Canis lupus familiaris: one gene and its partners. The protein of the gene in region 4 interacts with the protein of the main gene of each other region in a pairwise test. Links are inferred from orthologs where the notes say so. Each region holds a gene or a part of one and is shown on either strand. Other genes may lie near its edges. The genes, in order: PRR13, TBC1D10C, TTBK2, KLHL12 and PDGFRB.

Region 1 (4,080 bases), on a different chromosome or scaffold from region 4:
TTGTGAGTCTAAGGATTATTTCAAAATAAAAAAAAACAAAATAAAAAATATTTTAAAAATCTATCAAAGGGCTTAATTCAAGATGATAGACAGTATACAATTTATCTTCTTAATATTTTTTATATATCCCACAAATTTGGGATGTAGTATTTTCAGTATGGCTTAGTTCAAAGTATTTAATTTCCATCATGGTTTATTCTTTGACCCAGAGTTATTTGGAAGCCTTTTTGTTTTCTTAAATTTCCAGATGTATATTTGTATTTTACATTGTGACCAGAGAATGTGGTATGTAGTGTACAATTCTTTGAAATTTGATTTATATTAGTTGAGACCCAATTTTTTTCTTTAAGATTTTATTTATTCATGAGAGACACAGAGAGAGAGAGAGCGGCAGAGACACAGGCAGAGGGAGAAGCAGGCTCCATGCAGGGAGCCCGAAGTGGGACTCGAATCTAGGTCTCCAGGGTCAGGCCTCGCTGAGCCACCTGGGCTGCCCCTCAATTTTTTTTAATAAGTAGCCTAAGTATGCTTAGGAAGAATGAGTATTTTTAAGTTTGGGGTGCATGGTTTTTTATGTTAATTGTGATTTAAAAAAAAACATGAAGCCATTGCAGCAATCCAGTAGAGAGACGATGATAGGCTAGGAGCAGGGACCATGGAGAGAAGCGGAAAGAATTCAGATTTATTTGGGAGACAAAACGAGCTCTTCGCGGCGGCGGCGGCGGGACAAGGGACAAGCCATCAAAGATGACCTCCTTGGCTTCTGCCTTATGCAATTCGACGGATGGCGGAGCTATGCAAGTGAGCTAGGGAATTCTAAGGGGGATTAGGAAATCTCTGTATTTCCCCCAAGAATGTTTCTTTACTTCCCACAGGGGAGAGGAGGAAGGTGGCGAAACCGAGGCGTGGGGCTGAGACCCGGCAGCTCTCCGCCGTCTCTTAGGCGCTCTGCAAGGACCTTGGCACCGCCTCGGTCACCTCTCCAGGCGTCGCACCCACCGCCCGAGGAGCTCAAAGGGCCCCGGTGCAGAGTCCTCCGGGCCTCCCCGGGCCTCCGCCCACAAGCCGGCCCCGCCCCTCCGAGGCCCGCCTTGGCCCCGCCCCCGGCGCTTCCGGCCCGCCCACTCCTCTGCGCCCTCCGGGGCCGCGCTCCGCCCCCGGGGCCGCCGCCGGCCTCCAGCCCCGCCTGCCAGAGTGATTGACGGCTGTGTTCTCCAATCACGACGCGGACGGGCCAAGCGCTCGCCAACCAGGCGGGGGCGGGGGCGGGGGCGGGGGCGGGGGCGGGCGCTGAAGCCCAGGTCGGGGAGCGGGGGGCGGGGGCCAGGAAGTGAGAGCCGAGGATGAGTCCCGCCCGGGAGGTGGTGTAAAGGTGACTGGGCGTCTGGGTTCCCCAGTTTCCTCCTTTCCTCGTCCCCAGGTCAGGGATCCTTGGCAGCCGGGAGCCAGGCTCTCCACTTGCCCTGTGGGCTGTGGAAGGGGGGTGTGTCTCCGTAAGACAGCGGTGGAGGCTCTTCCCTGGACGCCTTCTCCGGCTCCTTCCCGTGGCCTGGGGTGAGGGTCCTGCCTCCCTCCGCCTGCCCGGGCTGAGGGCGGTGAAGTTGTTTAAGATCCTTCCGTAGCGGTGGGTGAGGAAAGTCTTCCGGGCTCAGCCCCGGCAGGGGAGGGGGGGAGCGGACCCGGAGGTCGCGGAGGGGGGAAGGAGGGGAGGGAGGAGCGGACCCCGAGGTCGCGGAGGGGGTAGGGGAAGGGGGAGGAGGGGAGGGGAAGGGGGGAGGAGGGGAGGGAGGAGCGGACCCCGAGGTCGCGGAGGGGGTAGGGGAAGGGGGAGGAGGGGAGCGGACCCCTAGGTCGCGGAGGAGGGGAGGATGGGAGGGGAAGGGGCGAAGAGGGGAGGGGAGGGGAGGGGAGAGCGGGCCCAGAGGTCGCGGAGGGGGGGAGGAGAGGAGGGGAGGGGAGGGGGGAGCGGGGTCGGAGGTCGCGGGGGGGGGGGAGGGGGGGAGGGAGGAGCGGACCCCGAGGTCGCGGAGGGGGTAGGGGAAGGGGGGGAGGGGAGCGGACCCCGAGGTCGCGGAGGAGGGGAGGATGGGAGGGGAAGGGGCGAAGAGGGGAGGGGAGGGGAGGGGAGAGCGGGCCCGGAGGTCGCGGACGTGGGCGCTGTCCCGCGGAGCCCGAGGTGGTGGAAGGTGGAGGCGCGGGGAGGGCGCCCCGGGCCTGGGGGCAGCAGGAAGCAGGTGCTGAGCGCAGGGACGGTGGGGAAGGAAGCCTGCGGAGGTCGAGGCGGTTCCGCGAGTCCGGGAGGCGCTGCTCCGGGCTGGGTCTCTAACCCCCCTTCCCCCCCCCCCCGCCCCCCCCCCCCCCCCAGCACCATCAGCTTTTCGCCTTGGTTTCTTCCTCCTCAGGCTGCAGGGAGGCCCCGAACATGTGGAATCCCAATGCCGGTAGGTGCTCGGGGGCTCGGCCGCAACCGCTTTTCAGAGGAGCCGGGCACGGGGAGTTTCTGTCGCTTTCTCCGCCCCCCTCGCGCACAGAAGCGGTCCTCGCTCCTCCTCGGCTGACCCTGCGCTCGTCGGTCCCGAGTCACCGTCTCCCTCCCTCCCCACCCCTGCCGCCGCCCTCGCCTTCCCTCTGCCCACCGGCTTTGCCTCCCCGCCGCCCCACCTGCTCCCCCGCCTTTGCATTTCCCTGTAAGTAGTGAGTGAGAAACGGAACCCCCTTCTTTTTGCCCCTGTTTATCGTCAGAGGCTCTGAGCTCTTGGAATCCTAACTTATTCTTTGCTTCTTCCACCAGGACAGCCAGGGCCTCATCCATATCCCCCTAACATCGCGTACCCTGGAGGTGCCAATCCTGCCCATCCGCCACCTGTGAATCCCGCCTACCCCCCGGGCCCCTATCCAACTCCCCCAGGGGCTCCCCAGGGGAATCCAGCTTTTCCCCCTGGTGGGCCCCCTTATCCTGCGCCACAACCAGGGTACCCCGGATGCCAACCCACGGGTCCCTACCCACCTCCCTACCCACCACCTGTTCCTGGCACGCCTCTTGTGAATCCCTTGCCACCTGGCATGGGGGGACCGGGAATGGTGATGGACAAGAAGATGCGGAAGAAAATGAAGAAAGCTCATAAAAAGACGCACAAACACCACAAGCATGGCAAGGTCAGTGCCCCCTGGAGCTTGGCTAGGAAGGGGTGCCCACCACAGAGGCATGGGGGGATTTGCAGTCTGAGGACATGAAGCAGCCATTGTGTGGCTCTGGTCGACGGTTCTTCTTTGTAAAGTATTTCCACTGGTAAGAATCTGGTAATCTTGAAATACTAGGCAAATCGGGCCTTCTATCGAGGAGAGGCTAAGCTGAGCCATAGAATACAGAACAGAATCCAAAGCCCTTCCTGTCTCTGTCTCCCAGAACTTTTGCTCCACCCCCATCCCCAGACGCTTGGTTTAGCAAGTCAGACACCCCCACCTTCAGTGTTCTGGAGGTGCTGTGTTAATTATCACAGGGGCCTTTTTGTCCTACCACCCAGCAGGACTCTCAGTGACTCAGCCTCAAACAAAACCTAAATTTCATGCTCAGCCCCAGAGATGCTAGCCCTCAGCTAGTATCTTCATTCTAGAAGAGCGTTAACTAACAAGTAGCTCTCAGGACAACCCTGGAAGGACCGAACCAAGTAGCTCTCAGGACAACCCTGGAAGGACCGAACCCACCTGGATCTTCCTGGATCTTGAGGAGGCCTTAATTTACATTTTAGTGCCCAGTGTTTATTTGCCTTAGGGCTTTGGGCACTACCCCTTTCCGGATCTTTGGTAGGAATTGCAGGAGAAGGAAAGATATGAGGTTGAATGGGGGTAGAAATTGCCCTGCAGAGATGAAAAAATGTGTTTGGTGACAGTTGTTGGGGGTGTGCAAGTAAAGAACCTTGACTAGTACTCTCCCCTCCTTCCTCACTTTCTCCCATTTGGGGCTTAGGAAAAAGTAAAGGTAGACAGGCACACAGAGGCTGTTTCTTTTTTTTTTTTTTTTTTTTAATTTATTTATGATAGTCACAGAGAGAGAGAGAGAGGCAGAGACACAGGCAGAGG
Region 2 (4,173 bases), on a different chromosome or scaffold from region 4:
AATAGCGCAGGCCAACCCGTGCGCCCCCCGCCCAGGAGGGGGGCTGCTCCCCGTGCCAGAGCGTCCCCGGAACCCCCCTCCCCCGGCGCGCCGCGACTCGGGGGGCGGCTGTGGCCACGGGACCTTGCGGCCCGTCCCCGCCCAGTCTAAGCTGGCCCGGGGAGGGGCAGGCCCGCCCGCGCACCACTTCCGGGCCAGGGCGCGGCGGGCACCGACCTCCCCGGCCCCGGCCAACCTTCCAGCAGGCGCCCGATGATGGAGTCCAGGTTGAGCTTCTCACTGTCGGACATGGCGGCGCCGCCGCTCCGCCCCAGCAGCTCCGGGCCCGCTCCTGCCGCCCTCCCTCCCGCCCGCTGCCTCCTTCCGGCCTGGCGCTCCTTCCGCCCGCCCCGGCCCGCCCCGGCCTGCCGCCCCGCCTCCCCGGCCCGCCGCCCCGCCCTGCGCGCTGCCCCCGCGCTCTAGCGCTCCCGCCGGACACCGCGCGCAGCGGCCGCGGCGGCCCGGGGGGCGGGGCATAGGGGACGGGGCGGGGCTCGGGCTGAGCTCGGCCGTCGGGACGGAGCCCGGCCGGTGGGTGGAGCTCGGAGGGCGGGGTCGAGTCTGGTCCCGCCCCCGAGGAGTTACCCGAGTCCAGTTCCGAGAATATGGGGCCGGAAGTGCTGTGGGAGTTGTTTGTCTCTGTCAGACGCTAACCCACCCCCTGGGCGGGAGCGTGGTATGAGCACATTAATAACCGATGCTCCAGACACTGCGGATCAAGTCCTCGAAGTGCAGAAAAGGAAACGGAGACTCAAGAGATAGCAGGGGGGTGGGTTGGTCCAAAACCCTGGCCTCACATTCACGGGGGGCCTCCACCTCCTGAGTCTCTGCGGCCCTCAAGGCAGCTGGCCAGACCCAGGCACCTGCCGCGGCGCTCTGAACCCATCTTGGTCCACGCTGTGCTGCACGCTGAACTAATTTTTGTAAGTTCCGTTATTGCCTGCTGAGTGCATAATAACGCTGCGTTAGGTATATATTCAAAGCATTACTTGTAAAGAGCAAATATTAAATAAACGAGAATTCTCACTGGAATCTTGAATTGTTTTAACCTCAAAACTGGAGGGGCCTGGCCTCTGTAACTCGGGTGGGTCCTGGACTGGTCACACCCTGCTCTGGAGCCCAAGCCTGCAGCCACCCAGCCCATGGGGAGGGTGGGAGGAGCCCACGGTCCTGGGGGCACTGGGGCAGGCCGGAAGAGCCTCAGAGAGGAAGAGGTGACCCCCCCACACACTTGGGAGGGGAGTGTGGGAGGGGCCCCCCAGCCGGTGGCTGAAGCTGCTGAGAAGGAGGAAGTGAGAGGAGGAGGTGAGGTGCAGCAGGGAGGTAAGCTGGCCTGGGGGGGCAGGGGCTGGGCCTGGGGACCAGCCTCTACACAGAGGTCTGGCTTTTCTGCCATTTCAAGGCTCACTCTCACCCTCACCCTCCCACCCCGATAAAAGAGGGGACAGAGGGGGCTTGGTGAGATGCCCTGAAGTCTGTGCCCTCTGAACCCTGCAGCCAGGTCCCCGGGCTGGGGACCGGCTGGATGGGAGCTCAGGCCCCAGGCTGGTCAGAAGCTGCCTCTCACACTGGCTTTCCCCACATCTTGCAGCCTGTGGTAGCTTGGGTCTGGGGCACCATGGCCCAGGCCCTGGGGGAGGACCTGGTACAACCTTTCGAGCTGCAGGATGACTCAAGCTCTTTGGGGTCCGACTCAGAGCTGAGTGGGCCTGGCCCATATCGCCAGGCTGATCGCTATGGCTTCATTGGGGGCAGCTCAGCAGAGCCAGGGTAAGTGGGGAAGGGATGAGGGGCAGTGGGGTGCTGGGAGTGAGGATGGGGGTTGAGGGCTGAATTCTAGAGACAGGCTCAACTCCTAGGGTCCTAGAGGGCCTGGGGACTCAGCCAGTGTCCCTACTCCTCATGTTCCAGGAGGAATCCTAAAGCTGGTAGGGCTGCGGCAAGAGTGTCCCTCATGTGTCTCTTTGACTCCCAATCTCCCAGCCTTTGCACCTATCCTTGGGGCCAGATATCCTTCTGCTTTTAATCCCTGCCATGATAATCCCAGAACCAAACCAAAGAACCCACACCTCTATCCCTACCATCTTCCTTTCCAGATATACAGACAGGAAAACAATTCCAGATAGGAGCTTGCCCAAGGTCACACGGCAGATCAGATAGAATCAGGTTCAAACTCAGGACTCCTAGCTTCTAGCCCTTGGCTCTGGCCACCTGCCTCTCTTATGAGTTGTCTGTGTTCCTGTCCTGGAGGACAGCCACCTGGCCCCTGCCCTCCCCCAACACACACCTACACACCCCCTTCAGCCTCTCCTGCTTCTGCCCACATCAGAGCCACATTTTCTCCTGTCCCTATGACAACCACTGGCAACTCCTGGGTGATAGGTTACCCCCCACCCGGGGCTCCCTAGAGATCCCCACAACCAGGAGCTGAGTTTACCCGGGTAGCATGGAAGGTGGCAGAGGTGGGCTCTGGGTGAGAGCCAGCCAACGCCTCGATGCCTGTGCCTTGTGCCCACAGGCCAGGTCACCCTCCTGCAGACCTTATCCGCCAGCGGGAGATGAAGTGGGTGGAGATGACCTCACACTGGGAGAAAACCATGTCTCGGCGGTACAAGAAGGTGAGGGGACAATGGGACTCTTCAGTCATCCCCCTTTGCCTCTGCCTATGCCCTGGCAAAATTTACCCATCCTGTGTCCCTACCCCCCCAAGTGACCCTTGTCCCATGACACATTGGAGCTTGGGATCCTCCAATAGGAGCAGGGCAGGCTGGTCTGGCTGATCTAATGGGGCCCTGGGGTGGGCCTCCCTGCAGGTCAAGATGCAGTGCCGGAAAGGCATCCCCTCAGCTCTCCGGGCCCGCTGCTGGCCCCTGTTGTGTGGAGCCCATGTATGTCAGAAGAACAGCCCTGGCACCTATCAGGTAATGCAGTTGACAGGGGTTCTGCTTCCCCTTTCTAGAGCCTCTGGCTGCTCTTAGCCCTCACAGAGAGCTTCCTGTCCACACACAGGAACTGGCCGAGGCCCCTGGAGACCCACAGTGGATGGAGACCATCAGCAGGGACCTACACCGCCAGTTCCCCCTACACGAAATGTTTGTGTCACCTCAGGGTCACGGGTAGGTGGCCAGTGACACCCAGGGACCTCCAGCCCCACAACCTCCAGGGCTTTCAGCCCAGACTCCTACCTCAGCCTCAGCTTATATCCTTACATCTCAGGGGATCCAGCGAGGCCCAGGGGGGCTGTGACCTGGGAAGAGGCCATCTTCGGGCAGGGAAGGGGTATCTGAACCAGCCCCTAATGGGGTCTTCTGGCACAGGCAGCAGGGGCTCCTGCAGGTCTTGAAAGCCTATACGCTGCATCGGCCGGAACAGGGCTACTGTCAGGCCCAGGGTCCCGTGGCTGCCGTGCTACTCATGCATCTGCCCCCAGAGGTGAGTGCCCTAGACCCTAACCAGGGACTTGAGACCCTGACACCTAAACCCAGTGATCCATGATCCTGACCTTAGGTACTTGAGGTCCTTGACCCACATCCTAGTGACCTACAGACCTAGTAATCCTGTGCTCCGGACCCATGACTCCTATCCCCAGGAACTCGGGACTCAGGGATCTGGGATCCTTGACTCCCAGATCCTGTCCTAGTCACCTAGGGCCTCATGACCATCAACTTCAGTGACTTTCAAGCCCAACGACCTTGACTCCAGGTCAAGGTCCCTTTGGCCCCTGCTCCCTGCCCCAGTGACCTAAGAATCTGGATGTCATCACCTCGACCTCAGGACTCCTGATTCTGAGCCCTGTGACCACGATCTCAATGACTCTAAGAGCTCAGGACTTGAACTTTAGGACCCTCCCAACCCTTGACCAGTGAGCCCCAACTCTGTGACCCTGAAATTCAACACCATGAACCCAATGACTTCCAAACTCCTAAACCAATTGATAGGCAGAGAGACTTTTGGTAAGAGCCTGAGTTTAGGCTCCAGAGTGACCTCAGAGGGCACCTATGCCCACTCCCGCGCTCTGTTCCCCTATCCTATGGTTCCTTCTGTGATCCCCTGGGTGTGGGCACTCATGGCGTGTGCCCCCACCCAGGAGGCCTTCTGGTGCCTGGTACAGATCTGCGAGGTCTACCTCCCCGG
Region 3 (3,511 bases), on a different chromosome or scaffold from region 4:
GGAGCCTGCTTCTCCCTCTTCCTGTGTCTCTGCCTCTCGCTCTCTATGTCTCTCAAGAATAAATAAATAAAATCTTAAAAAAAAAAGAATTTTTTGCATTTTTGTGGTACTGATTTGATTAAATTCTTATCTCCATCTGTGTTTTTAATTATCGTGATTCTTAACATGAATTGTCTTATAATGTTACAAGATAACCTTTGACTTTGGGAGCTTAGCAGTGGGAGTTGGTAACTTCATGAGTTACCAGGTACAAGTTAAATGAACATTTTGAACTTTTGTTTATAAGGGATCTCTTTTATTGGAATGAGAAGATGCAGTGTAGGGTTAGAGAGTGCATTATAAAGAAGGTATTATAGAAAGGAAGGGGAGTATGTGAATGAGGGAAACCAGTAATTTATACAAAAGGGGCAGGCAGTTCAATTCATTTTAATGTAGGACTTCTAATAGTGAGTACTGTAGGAAAAATAGACATGAATAAGTTTATCATTCTTCCTAGAAAGAAGGGAAGGTGAAACTTTGGAGAACTATTCTCCAAAGGTTATAGTTTATAACTATAGTTAATGTTTGTAAGTCCCATTATTCCCAAATTTTGATAACAGAAGACAGAAATGGAACTTTAAAAAGAATTTGGGGGCAGCCCTGGTGGCACAGCAGTTTAGCGCCGCCTGCAGCCCAGGGCGTGATCTGGAGACCCTGGATTGAGTCCCGCATCGGGCTCTCTGCGTGGAGCTGCTTCTCCCTCTGCCTGTGTCTCTGCCTCTCTCTCTCTCTCTGCATCTCTATGAATAAATAAATAAAATCTTTTAAAAAAAAGAATTTGGGATATATTTATGAATTATAGAAGGCTGCAGTAATATTCAGAACTGAGTGACTAATGATAGTCACATACCCTTCAATGTACATCCCTGGTGGCTGCTATTGGCAATGAAATGTTAGGTTAGAAGGAACATGTATTTGACTAACATAGTAGTTACTATGTCCAAAGAATTCAGATTAATCTAATCTAGCTTCTATTTTTTTATAGTATTTCATATATGTGTATTTTTCCTCACATAGTAATTATTCAGCCACACAGCTACATGATAGAAGCTTGTGTCTGTACATTGATATGATCAAAAGGATGGATTGGAGTTGGGGCAGTGCTTAAACATTTTGAGTTGTGCTAAGATTAGGGATAAATACATAAATGCAACAGGGATGAAAGCTTAGTTTGGTAAAGAATTAGTTTAATAAAAGAACCATGCTGAGGGAAGGGCTGAGAAGTAAGACAGCACTGAGAAAACAGAAGTAATCTAAGGAAATGAACTCAGGCCAGAACCTAGAATGGATAGGAAACAGTTGAAGCAATGAAAGCACCCAACTGCAAACTTGAAAGGGAGAAAACATACTGCTTAAACTGTTTCCCTGAAGTTGAGATCAGTTCCTAGAAGCCAATGCAGCCAAATGGTTACACCATTGCCTGCCCCTCAGCCAGCAGAGAGATTTGTATAAAGTGTCAGTTGCCTTTTCATCCACCCAAACGATATTCCTTGTGTCATCCCCCATGCCCCCATCGCCACCCAGTACCACTGTGTGCACTGCTGCTACATAGTGGGCTGGGCATGCTTGAGAAGGTGTAATAGCTAGCGGTGCCTTTGGAGTTTACTTGGAGTGTACATTTACATATGTCTGTGAAAACAAAACACATGAAGTATTTGCCTAGCTTCTCATTTCCTTTCCTATACTAGCTTCTTCATTTCCTTTTATAGGGCTTCTGGTGAGGCAAAATCCCCTTAGCTAAGTTCTGCCTCAGTCCCTCAGAGAGAGCAGAGGGCAGTGTGATTGAATTTGTAAAGAGAAGGGGAAAGAGATCACATAAGTCAGCCTGAGTAGGCTTCTCTGCCTACTGCCGAGAAGCAGGAGAGCCATCTTCCTCCTGTGGGTTCCATCTTCCAAAACAGGATTATGACAGGTGGAGAAGAACATTATCAGCCTGTGAAAGCTTCCTTATGCTTTATTAATATATTATTCTGTCACATGTGTGTGAATATTAGTTCTGTGTAGAGCTTATAGGTTGTGTATAAATATTTTCCTAGAGCAATTGAGTAACTGCTCTCTGTTTTTAAAGCCTGGAGAAAATGCAGAAAGATTCCAGTGGAGGAAAGGAATCTATTCTCCCTGCTGTGCTTCATAAGCCTTGTGTTCCTGCTGTGTCTCGTACTGACCATATCTGGCACTATGATGAAGAATATCTTCCAGATGCTTCTAAGCCTGCCTCTGCCAACACCCCTGAACAGGCAGATGGCGGTGCCAGCAATGGATTTATAGCAGTTAACTTGAGCTCCTGCAAGCAGGAGGTTGATTCCAAAGAATGGGTGATTGTGGACAAGGAGCAGGACCTTCGGGATTTCAGGACAAATGAGGCTTTAGGCCATAAAACAACTGGAAGCCCTTCTGATGAAGAGCCTGAAGTACTTCAAGTCCTGGAGGAATCACCTCAAGATGAGAAGCTTCTACTGGGTCCTTGGGCAGAAAGTGATCATTTAAAGAAAGAAACCTCAGGTGTGGTCTTAGTACTTTCTGGGGAGTGCCCTGCCACTGCTGCTTCAGAACAGTACACAGATAGGCTAGAACTACAGGCTGGAGCTGCCAGCCAGTTTATTACAGTGACGCCCACAAGTCCGATGGAAGCGCAAGCGGAAGGACCCCTCACAGCGGTAAGAGATTTGTTCCTATTCCTTTTCTCTATTATCCACTCAAGGTGCTGTTTAAAAAGAACTAATAGTTGATCAACTAAGATAGTTCAGCAGATGCCTAAGTTTGGCAGAAGGGGGGTGGGTAGGGAGTGATGTTGGGACTAAATTCTATACTCAGTCATCCATTTTGAAAATTATCAAAGCAAGTGAGTCCTATCAGGATAGCAACGCAACACATAAAGTGTCATTATAACCTAATTTTAGAACAACATTTATAATTAGACCACAAGAGCTATCTATCTATGCATTTAGATATGACTTTAAAAATTTGTCATCCTAGAGATTTTTAATCTCTACATTATAAATCTGGTGAGGAAGGTAAATGTGGTTTCTACTTTATAGCATACACTTGCCTGGCTTGATTCACTTTGTTCTGTTGCTTTTTTTTTTTGTAATCTCCACAGAGAAATTTGTCATATTTTACATTACTCTTAAACAGTTTTCCAGCTTTAATGTCTGTCCATTGTTAAAATACAGAGTTCTGGCCTCTCTTCCAGAGCTTCTGCTTCAGTAGGCCTGGGCTAGAGTGAACCCAGGGGTGGTCTGCATTTTAACAAGTAGCTGAAAATAGTTGTGACTAAGGTCTTCTGCAAAGGAACATTTTGAAGAAACTCCTCTTTACTCTTCAGTTTGGGGATTCAGCTGGAGACACCTTCACCCTTTATTATCAGTGAGCAGTGATGCCCGTATGATGGTGAGCAACAGGAGCCCTGGAAAAGCCGAATATGTTGGCAGTAAGGAAACTGTGTACACAGGTCTTTGGCTCCAGCCTGAGG
Region 4 (3,826 bases):
TCCCTGCTGAGCTCAGGGCTCAGTCCCAAGACGGGGATCCATGAGATCATGACCCGAGCCAAAGTCAAACATTTAACCGACTGAGCCACCCAGGCACCTCTCTGTGTTTTTGTTTTTTGTTTTTTTGTTTTGTTTTGTTTTTAAGATTTATTATTTGAGAGACAGTGTGAGCATGTGCTAGTGGGAATTGGGTGGGGAGGGCCAGAGGGAGAGGATCTCCAGCAGACTGCCTGCTGAGCACGAAGCCTGACATGGGGCCTGATCCCAGGATCCTCCCAAGATCATGACCTGAGCCAAAATCAAGAAGGACGCCCAGCCGAGGCACGTAGGCTCCCCCCCCCATCTTTTTAGGTGTCTTAACCGTGATGTCTTCCTTACCTATAAAACTTAATTGGCTTACCCAAGAAAAACACTTTGGTTTTGCTCCCAAACATTTGAAAGACTTGTGGGGAATTTGCAAAGAGAGGAGTCCTTAGAAATCTCTCATCCTCTAATAGTCTGTGATTCATTCATTCTGAGCAGATATGATCTATGTGTCTGGAGGCTTTGACGGAAGCAGGCGTCATACCAGTATGGAGCGGTATGACCCAAACATTGACCAATGGAGCATGTTGGGAGATATGCAGACAGCCCGGGAGGGTGCCGGGCTAGTTGTGGCCAGCGGAGTGATCTACTGCCTAGGTATTCCATCTGGGAGGGAGAGATGGGCAGGAACTACATGGGTGGCAACCTTTGGGTGGGGATCTCTTTTTATCAAGATGAAGTTCATAGACTTGTTTCAACTAAAATCCTAGTCTGTCATCCTATTTTTTCTGTTAGCTGGGATTCTTTTTCGTGGAAGCAGGAAACCGGGTACTGTCAGATTTCTCTTTGGATTATTGGAACTCTTAAGAACTAAAACTGAAAGAATTAGTTGAAACACTGAGAGAAAGACAGATTGGGAATGGACGTGAGGATTTCCCAATATTTCTGAATGGTCTGTACTTTGTTTTTCAGGAGGATATGATGGCTTGAATATCTTAAATTCTGTTGAGAAATATGATCCCCACACAGGACACTGGACTAATGTTACACCAATGGCCACCAAGCGCTCTGGTAAGCCCAGTCATACCTAAGGGAGAGGACAATAGACCGTGCTGACAAATCTTTGTATATGCAGTGGTGGCCCAAAGATACGGTATCAGCAAATCAGTTGTAGTTCTTTCTTCACTTACGCTTAGAGTAAATGAGGTTCCACATTCTCTCCTTTGCTTGTCTTTACATATAGTGAGAATAAAGACAACTAGATTATTCTAGGCCTGTCTGGCCTTTGTCCACACCCTCAGCTGCTGTAGAATTCAGCTAGCTTTCAGTGATCGTGTTTTGTTTTTAGAATTCTGATCCTGAGCTTAGTAGTGTTTACTTGCTATACCTTTTTTTTTCCCCCAGGTGCAGGTGTAGCCCTGCTAAATGACCATATTTATGTGGTGGGGGGATTTGATGGGACAGCCCACCTTTCTTCTGTTGAAGCATACAACATTCGCACCGATTCCTGGACAACTGTCACTAGTATGACCACTCCGCGATGTTATGTCGGGGCCACAGTGCTTCGAGGGAGACTTTATGCTATTGCAGGGTAAGGATTTGGAAGCCAGACCAGAGTCCTCAGGGATCGAGGACCACATGATCCAATCTGAATTTTTGGATCAAGACTGGCTTTGGGTTGGGGGAGACATCTCCAGTGGCCGCCTTTAATGTAGGACTGTATGGAAAGGATTAGAAAGTTCATTTTCTTCTTTTGCTTCTTCCCCATTCAGATATGATGGGAATTCCCTGCTGAGTAGCATTGAGTGCTATGACCCTATCATCGACAGCTGGGAAGTAGTGACATCCATGGGAACCCAGCGCTGTGATGCTGGGGTTTGTGTTCTTCGGGAGAAGTGACCATTGTTGGAGCGCCATCCAGAGCTAGTGACCAGTCCAAGGGACAGTTTACGGGAGAGTCAAGGATCCTTTCCAGAATATCTATTTCTCACTGTGTGCACAGGGTAATTACAAGCACCAGTGCAGTGATGATTGTACTTATTTAACACACACTCCACCTTACGCTGGTAGTTGTCCCTGAGGAGGGTGGGTAACAGACACTCAAGGGAAGACAGTGCATACTGAATGGATCTGAGAGGCCAGGTCACCTCTTCTGGTCTAGACAGCACTCTCATGTGCTCAGGAGAATCTCTGTATCTGTTGTGCCTCGTGTATTGCAGACACTTAAGAATCAGTGTGACCTACAGAATGTGGGCAGTATCCAGCGTAGATGATCGGAAGGATACCAACTTGAGGAAGCTGGGTAAAATCCAAGTCTTGTTTTCCAGGAAGATCTTTCCTAGTCTACAGTAGCTAGGGGCAGCAGTTCCATTCTGGAGGATAACAAAGGGGAGAGCCCCCTGTCCCACTTTGGGGGCTTGGAGAGAGTCCTGCCACTCCCTTCAGGGACAGGGTTGGTATATCAGAACCAGGTTTAGAGTAGGGACATCAGAAGAATTTGATGGAAGGTGAGTGAACTGAGAACACCACTAAAGTATAACCTGGAAGACTTAAGAGAGGGTGGTCATACTGAAGGATCTTTTTATTTCCCCATGGACTTTCTGAACCAGAATGGTGCGCGTCTTGGCACCAGAGACTGACAGAGTAAGAGTGAACGAGTGTCGGGATGGGCAGAGATGGAATGAACGTGGGAGTTCAGTATGCCTGGGAACAAACTAGAAGTACCTGTGATTTTACAATCGTCTTATTTCCTGCCAGGGCTCATCTACCCGTGGCATGGTTTGCCTTGAGTAGGTGAGACACTATCTCTCTGTGTTGAATCAAATACTACTACACTATTATACTTCATTACTATTTATTTGGGGTGGGGTGGGGGTGGCAGCAGCCAAAAAGTTCAGCTACCTGATTACTGCCCCATTCTTTTAAGGGCACCCTTCTGCTGAGAAGTGGTTTTTCTGCTGTGTTTGGTACAGTTCATCCTTTTCCTACTATAAGGCCCTCGCCTGTCCTTAGGGTGGATTTTATTTATCCCAGGACAGAATAATCAAGAACAACCAAAATCCTTTTGTTAGTTCCAGTACTTGCTATCGCCATTTCTGAGCCACCATTCAAGGCTCCCCCTGTGTTTTGGAGTGAAAGTCTTAGTTTTGTGGGTATTGTAAGTGTGGGGATGTGATAACCTAAAGAAGGATGCACTTTCCCTTTATTCTGAAATTCCATTTTTTTCTCTTTCCGAGTTGTATTGACCTCAAGAGTTCATTTCCTTTGTATTTTTTTAATAAAATATTAAAAATCAATGGTCTCAAATGCCTATAGGAGAGTTTGTGGCTAACCAGCATGGTCTTGCAGATACTGGGGGTGGGGTGGGGAGGGGGGAGCAGGCACAGTGATCAGCTGTATGTCTTCTCTCTCCTCCCTGTTACCCTGTGTGTTTGCCAACTAGCTCCACTATGTTTCTCTGACATGGGTAAGAGGTAGCTACCCCTTTACCCTTGCCAAGATTCTCATCAGTAAAGTATTTATATGAAATTGCATGTTTATTGACTCCTCTCACACCTGGAGTTTACTTGAAAACCAAACAGAATAAAGGGGAATCCATCTTGAGCTAATTTAGTACCCACTTGACTTTTAGGGTGTTAAGTCACTCCGGTCCTTTTTTTATTTGCTTAGATTTATGGCACGTGATATAAATAGCTATGGAGAAGGCCTGCAAAACTGCAAAAAATCCTGGTATTTCCAGAGCAAAGGAAAGAGGGAGCCAAAAAGGAAGTTATTTTCTCTAAAGAAGCCTGCCAACCTTTCT
Region 5 (4,245 bases), on a different chromosome or scaffold from region 4:
AGAGGCTGGAAAGGGGACATTAGCAGGTACTCGAAAATATGTGTTGGGTGACTGAATGAGATGCAGAGAAAAGGATAACCCTGGAAGAAGGCGGGGCAGGAGGCCCAGTCTGCTCTGCAATGGGAGTCTTGCCCCGGGGTCAGGTCACCTGTGTCTGTTCTGTCATGGAACTCGGGAGACCTGATTCCACTCCAGTTCTGCCATTGCTTGTGGGAGCTTGGGAAGCTCATTCCTCTTCTCTGGGCTTCTGTTTCATTGTCTATAAAATGGGGAAATAACCCTTTCCTGGTACTTGAGGGACAGCGAGATGACAGGAAGGAATGTGTTTGGAAATCCCAAGTACACCGGGTGACATCGCCAGGTCTCTTTCCCTCTCTGTGCCAATTCACACCTGAGCCTTGGGTTTCTTCTTGTGACAGCGACTGATAATCCCAAAGCCTCAGTTAGTTGCCCCTCTAAATGCACTCTCAGCCCCCCTGCTATTCCTCAGGGTACCTCCCTGTGCCTCCTGTGTCTCCACTAGCCAGGGCAGCCCTGGAGTCAGGGACTGTGTGTTGCTCACTACCACCTCCAGCACCCCGCATGGTGTCTAGCACATGCTTGTTCAATAAACGGATGTTGCCTGAATCAATCATATAGGTGCTCAGAGCTGCCCTTATGGATGTGGAAACTGAGGCACAGACAAGGGAGTCGGCCCCAGGTGCTGCGCGGCAGGGCATCAGAGAGGTGGGGCCGGACCACTTTTTAATAAAAGTGACTCAGCGGTTGGCGTGGGCTGCGGAATTTCTAAACATCCCCTCACATCCTGAGAGAGCAGGCGACGGAGAGAGCAAGCAGAGGGAAAAAAGGAAGAAAAACAAGAAACTTGGGGGAAAAGAAAGAGGGGGAAGAAACTGAAATTGAAAACAGACACACGCGTCCACCTTCCCCGCCCCCTCGCCCCCCTGCTCCCGGCTGAGCCAATCAGAGGCGGCCCTGCAGCCTTTCCCCCAAAGCAGGGGGAGGGCAGGGAAGCCCACAGTGGTGTGAGCTCCCGGGCTGCCAGCGCCCGCAGTCCCTGCCCATCCCGTCTGGGATCCAGGATCCCTCTGCGAACAAGTTGGAGGCAGAGGGCAGGAGGACGGCACGGAGAGGACCCGGCCCCCCTGACCAGCAGCTGGGGGCAGCAGCCTGTGCCCTGCAGCGCAGAGGGCCAGACCCAGGGCGGCCCCTCCTGGCAGCCCTGCTCCTCCAGAAGGATGCTTTGGCAGTGAGGCCACTCCTCACTCACCCCTGCAGCCCCCCACTCTCTCCATCCTCCTGAGGCTCCCAGGGCCCGGAGATTAGGCTGTCTTCCCTGCTCTGCGACCCAGCCGTGGCCCCGTTGGGGAGTCCAGCAAAGTCTTTCTGTTAATGAGAGGTCAGCGAGGAGGACTTCCTGGAGGGGGTGACAGCCCAGAGCTCAGGACTGTGCCCACCCCCGAAGGCATCAGCAGCAAGGTAAGTGCTGGGAGAAGGGGGATCCCCAGCCCCTTGTCCTGTCCCCTTGCTCCAGTCTGTGCCTTCTTGGGTAGGTCAAAAAATGGAAAATATTTTTAACAAAACCAGATGGGAAGAAGCTGGGAGGCTGTGGGCGACGTCAGGGCTGGAGGAGCCAGTTTTCTCTTCTCCTGCTCAGGCTGCTTCTGGGGTGGGTGGCCCAGCCGGTCTCCATAGCCCTGCTGTCCCCTGCTTTTGCCAAATGAACCCCAGAGGTTTCTGGGTGCAGACTGAGGGCCTCCAAAACATAGAACCGCCTGAGAGGGCCGGGGAAAGCTGGCAGGAGCTCGAGAGGGGAATTGGGAGGCAGCAAGGAGGGTGCACGGAATGGAGATCTAGCAGGGGATAGGGGACTTCAGAGCCATGGCCCCTGTCTCTGGGCCCAAGCCTTGTCCTTAAGAATCTGTCTGGCTCTAGGCCAGTCGGCCGCCAGGCAACCTCTGGGGATTTAAATGGATTTGCAAATTTTCCAGATTCCTAAGATGTCCTTCCAAACCCCCAGTGGCTGGGAAAGTGCGAAGGCAAGGGGGCTGTGGCAGGCCTAGCCTAGCAGTCACAGTCTCACAGTCGGGGCTGTGGGGCTGGGGGCCTGGGATCCGCCGTCAGATGTAGGGGCCCCTCTGGAAAGAAGGGGGAGTCGGTTGCTGGGCCCTTCCCTCTGGACCCAGGCAGCTGCTCAAGCCGCCTCGCTGTCTCCCTCCTTCCGACGCTGCTTTCACTCCATCCTAAAACATGAATCTGATCACGATTCCTTCTTTGAGTCTCCCCTATAGAAAGCCCCAACTCCTAATAGTAGCTGCCACTGATTGACACTTACTGCATGCCAGGACTGTGCGGAGAGCTTTATGAGCATGATCTCACGTAACTCACCAGCGGCTCCAGAGGCAGGGATGGATTTTATGTTGGTTTTACGCGTGAGGTTCACAGCAGCTACAAAACTGTATCACGGTGCTAGTAACTGGCAGAGCTTGGGGAGATAATAAGCTCCCTGCCGCATTTCTCCAAACTTGGTCCTTGTGTTCCCGCCAGTCAGATCCCAGGGTCCCCAGGAGGAGTATGCACAATCTTGCCTGTGAGAATGCCCCTCCTCATTTTCCGTGAAGGAAAATGGAGGGAATGCCCTACCTCCCCCTCCTCCAGGCAGCCTTCCGGGGTCCTTCCAGTCTTCCAAGTGCTTGCCATGCCCTTTGCCTTGTTGCTTGGCCTTCTCTTCCTGTTTGTGCTCTGTGTGCACATCAGAGATCATTTGGGCCCCAAGTGACCCCATCTTGTTTTCCGTCCCCAACATATGCAGACAGGCAGGCAGTGAAACAGAAAATGTGCTGGCAAAAGGTAGGAGGGGCTCACTGAAGACTTGCTGTTCCCAAATGTGAGACCAGAACCAAGCCCCACCCTTCCCTCAGGTGCCCTTCCAGAACAGCACGCTGTTCCTCCAGACTGCATTTTTCTATGTCAAACAGGGAGGAGTGTCCCTGCCTGTCTGCCATCCCAGAATGCAGGAGGCCTCTAGGGAGATATCTGAGGTCATGCGGTCCTCCCCTGCCTCCTTGCAGCAGGCCCCGGATCCGTAGCCCCGGATCCGTAGCTCCGGATCCATAGTGCTGCTGTGTGGGTCACCGCCATGGAGTGCTTTCACTGTGCCAGGCACAGAGCCGAGACCCCACACACCTTGTCACCCCCACAGCAGCTCTTGGGAATCTGTATTGTCGTTACCCCTGTGTTGCAGACCAGGAAGCCAAGGCTCAGAGAGGCTATGTGATTTTCCCAGTGTCACATAGTTAGTAGAGTTGGTACTTAGGCCAAAGTCTACTTGAAACTGAAGACTTACCCCCTGGCTACCCAGGGAGCCCCAGGGCAGAAGGCAGGGAGTCTCCATTCTCCCACTGAGGCCGTTCCTGGCTCCAGCACCTTCGGCGGCAGGCTCCGCCTGCACTGGGTCTACCCGAAGTCTGGCCAGGTCCTAAGTGAGGAAGGAGGACCATCTGGCCAGCACCTTCCCTTTAGTGGTGATGGGACAGCCCTCCCTCCTCTGTGGGAAGAGGAGCTGAGATTTGTAATTGCCCCCAGATGTGGGACAGCGGAAAGCCCCGCAGATTCAGAGTCAGGAGACCTGGCGTTTGCCCTGGCTCAACTCAAGTCCGCTATGTTGCCAACTCGGGTCCCCGGATCCTTTTTTTCTGGGCTGTATCCACATCTGGAAGGTGTTGGGCACTGGGGTAAAGAACATCAGGTCTGGGCATCAGAGGACTGTGTATTATTCCCTAGTTGGCTCCTGCCTGGCTGTGTGACCCTGGGCCAGTGCTCTGTCTCTCTTGGCATCGGCCCCCTCCTCTGTAGGCAGCAGGGAGGCATGTAGTCTCCGTGAGGATAATATTGATAAAGGTGCGTAGTAGATCTTGCACTTCTCAGGGCTGGACCCAAAGGCCATTGGCTGAGAGAGGCCCACTGGCCTCCCTCCGTCCTGAACAGGACTCGGCAGTGAAGTTAGTCTATGCCTCACCAAGAGCTATGCCCCTGGAAGGGACCAGTCTAAAGGCCTACCTCCACCTTCCAGGCATGGTCTGGCTCTGAGACCTTCTGGACTGGAGGAGGGCACTTGGGGTTTTTGCTCAGGATGGGCTGCTGAGTGTGGTGGGGAGGGAGGAAGGAATGAGAGGGTCCCTAGACTGCCCTGAAGTGCCTGCCATGCCCATCTTACTTCCCTGCACATGTTTCAGAACCCTGTGG

The links.
Region 1: the proteins of KLHL12 (region 4) and PRR13 interact in binary tests that used the Homo sapiens proteins (3 or more experiments, as listed by UniProt). The two-hybrid records come from large-scale screens. The link is inferred for Canis lupus familiaris from reciprocal best matches to the Homo sapiens genes KLHL12 and PRR13.
Region 2: the proteins of KLHL12 (region 4) and TBC1D10C interact in binary tests that used the Homo sapiens proteins (3 or more experiments, as listed by UniProt). The two-hybrid records come from large-scale screens. The link is inferred for Canis lupus familiaris from reciprocal best matches to the Homo sapiens genes KLHL12 and TBC1D10C.
Region 3: the proteins of KLHL12 (region 4) and TTBK2 interact in binary tests that used the Homo sapiens proteins (3 or more experiments, as listed by UniProt). The two-hybrid records come from large-scale screens. The link is inferred for Canis lupus familiaris from reciprocal best matches to the Homo sapiens genes KLHL12 and TTBK2.
Region 5: the proteins of KLHL12 (region 4) and PDGFRB interact in binary tests that used the Homo sapiens proteins (3 or more experiments, as listed by UniProt). The two-hybrid records come from large-scale screens. The link is inferred for Canis lupus familiaris from reciprocal best matches to the Homo sapiens genes KLHL12 and PDGFRB.

The regions. Positions count from the first base shown.
Region 1 is NC_049248.1:44,879,515-44,883,594, forward strand, and holds the start of PRR13 (proline-rich protein 13), read left to right. Parts: upstream 1-1,277; 5' UTR 1,278-1,372; exon of another isoform or gene 1,373-1,628; intron 1,629-2,374; exon of another isoform or gene 2,375-2,402; 5' UTR 2,403-2,422; coding exon 2,423-2,441; intron 2,442-2,791; coding exon 2,792-3,156; intron 3,157-4,080. UniProt on the Homo sapiens protein: Negatively regulates TSP1 expression at the level of transcription. This down-regulation was shown to reduce taxane-induced apoptosis.
Region 2 is NC_049239.1:50,562,818-50,566,990, reverse strand, and holds the start of TBC1D10C (carabin), read left to right. Parts: upstream 1-1,369; 5' UTR 1,370-1,564; coding exon 1,565-1,809; intron 1,810-2,557; coding exon 2,558-2,657; intron 2,658-2,852; coding exon 2,853-2,960; intron 2,961-3,048; coding exon 3,049-3,155; intron 3,156-3,356; coding exon 3,357-3,471; intron 3,472-4,126; coding exon 4,127-4,173. Other genes in the region: PPP1CA (serine/threonine-protein phosphatase PP1-alpha catalytic subunit), read right to left, coding at 236-290.
Region 3 is NC_049251.1:9,984,401-9,987,911, reverse strand, and holds part of TTBK2 (tau-tubulin kinase 2), read left to right. Parts: intron 1-2,107; coding exon 2,108-2,696; intron 2,697-3,511.
Region 4 is NC_049228.1:410,981-414,806, forward strand, and holds the end of KLHL12 (kelch-like protein 12), read left to right. Parts: intron 1-522; coding exon 523-681; intron 682-996; coding exon 997-1,095; intron 1,096-1,428; coding exon 1,429-1,615; intron 1,616-1,796; coding exon 1,797-1,923; 3' UTR 1,924-3,325; downstream 3,326-3,826. UniProt on the Homo sapiens protein: Substrate-specific adapter of a BCR (BTB-CUL3-RBX1) E3 ubiquitin ligase complex that acts as a negative regulator of Wnt signaling pathway and ER-Golgi transport.
Region 5 is NC_049225.1:59,839,835-59,844,079, forward strand, and holds the start of PDGFRB (platelet-derived growth factor receptor beta precursor), read left to right. Parts: upstream 1-1,435; 5' UTR 1,436-1,479; intron 1,480-4,245. UniProt on the Homo sapiens protein: Tyrosine-protein kinase that acts as a cell-surface receptor for homodimeric PDGFB and PDGFD and for heterodimers formed by PDGFA and PDGFB, and plays an essential role in the regulation of embryonic development, cell proliferation, survival, differentiation, chemotaxis and migration.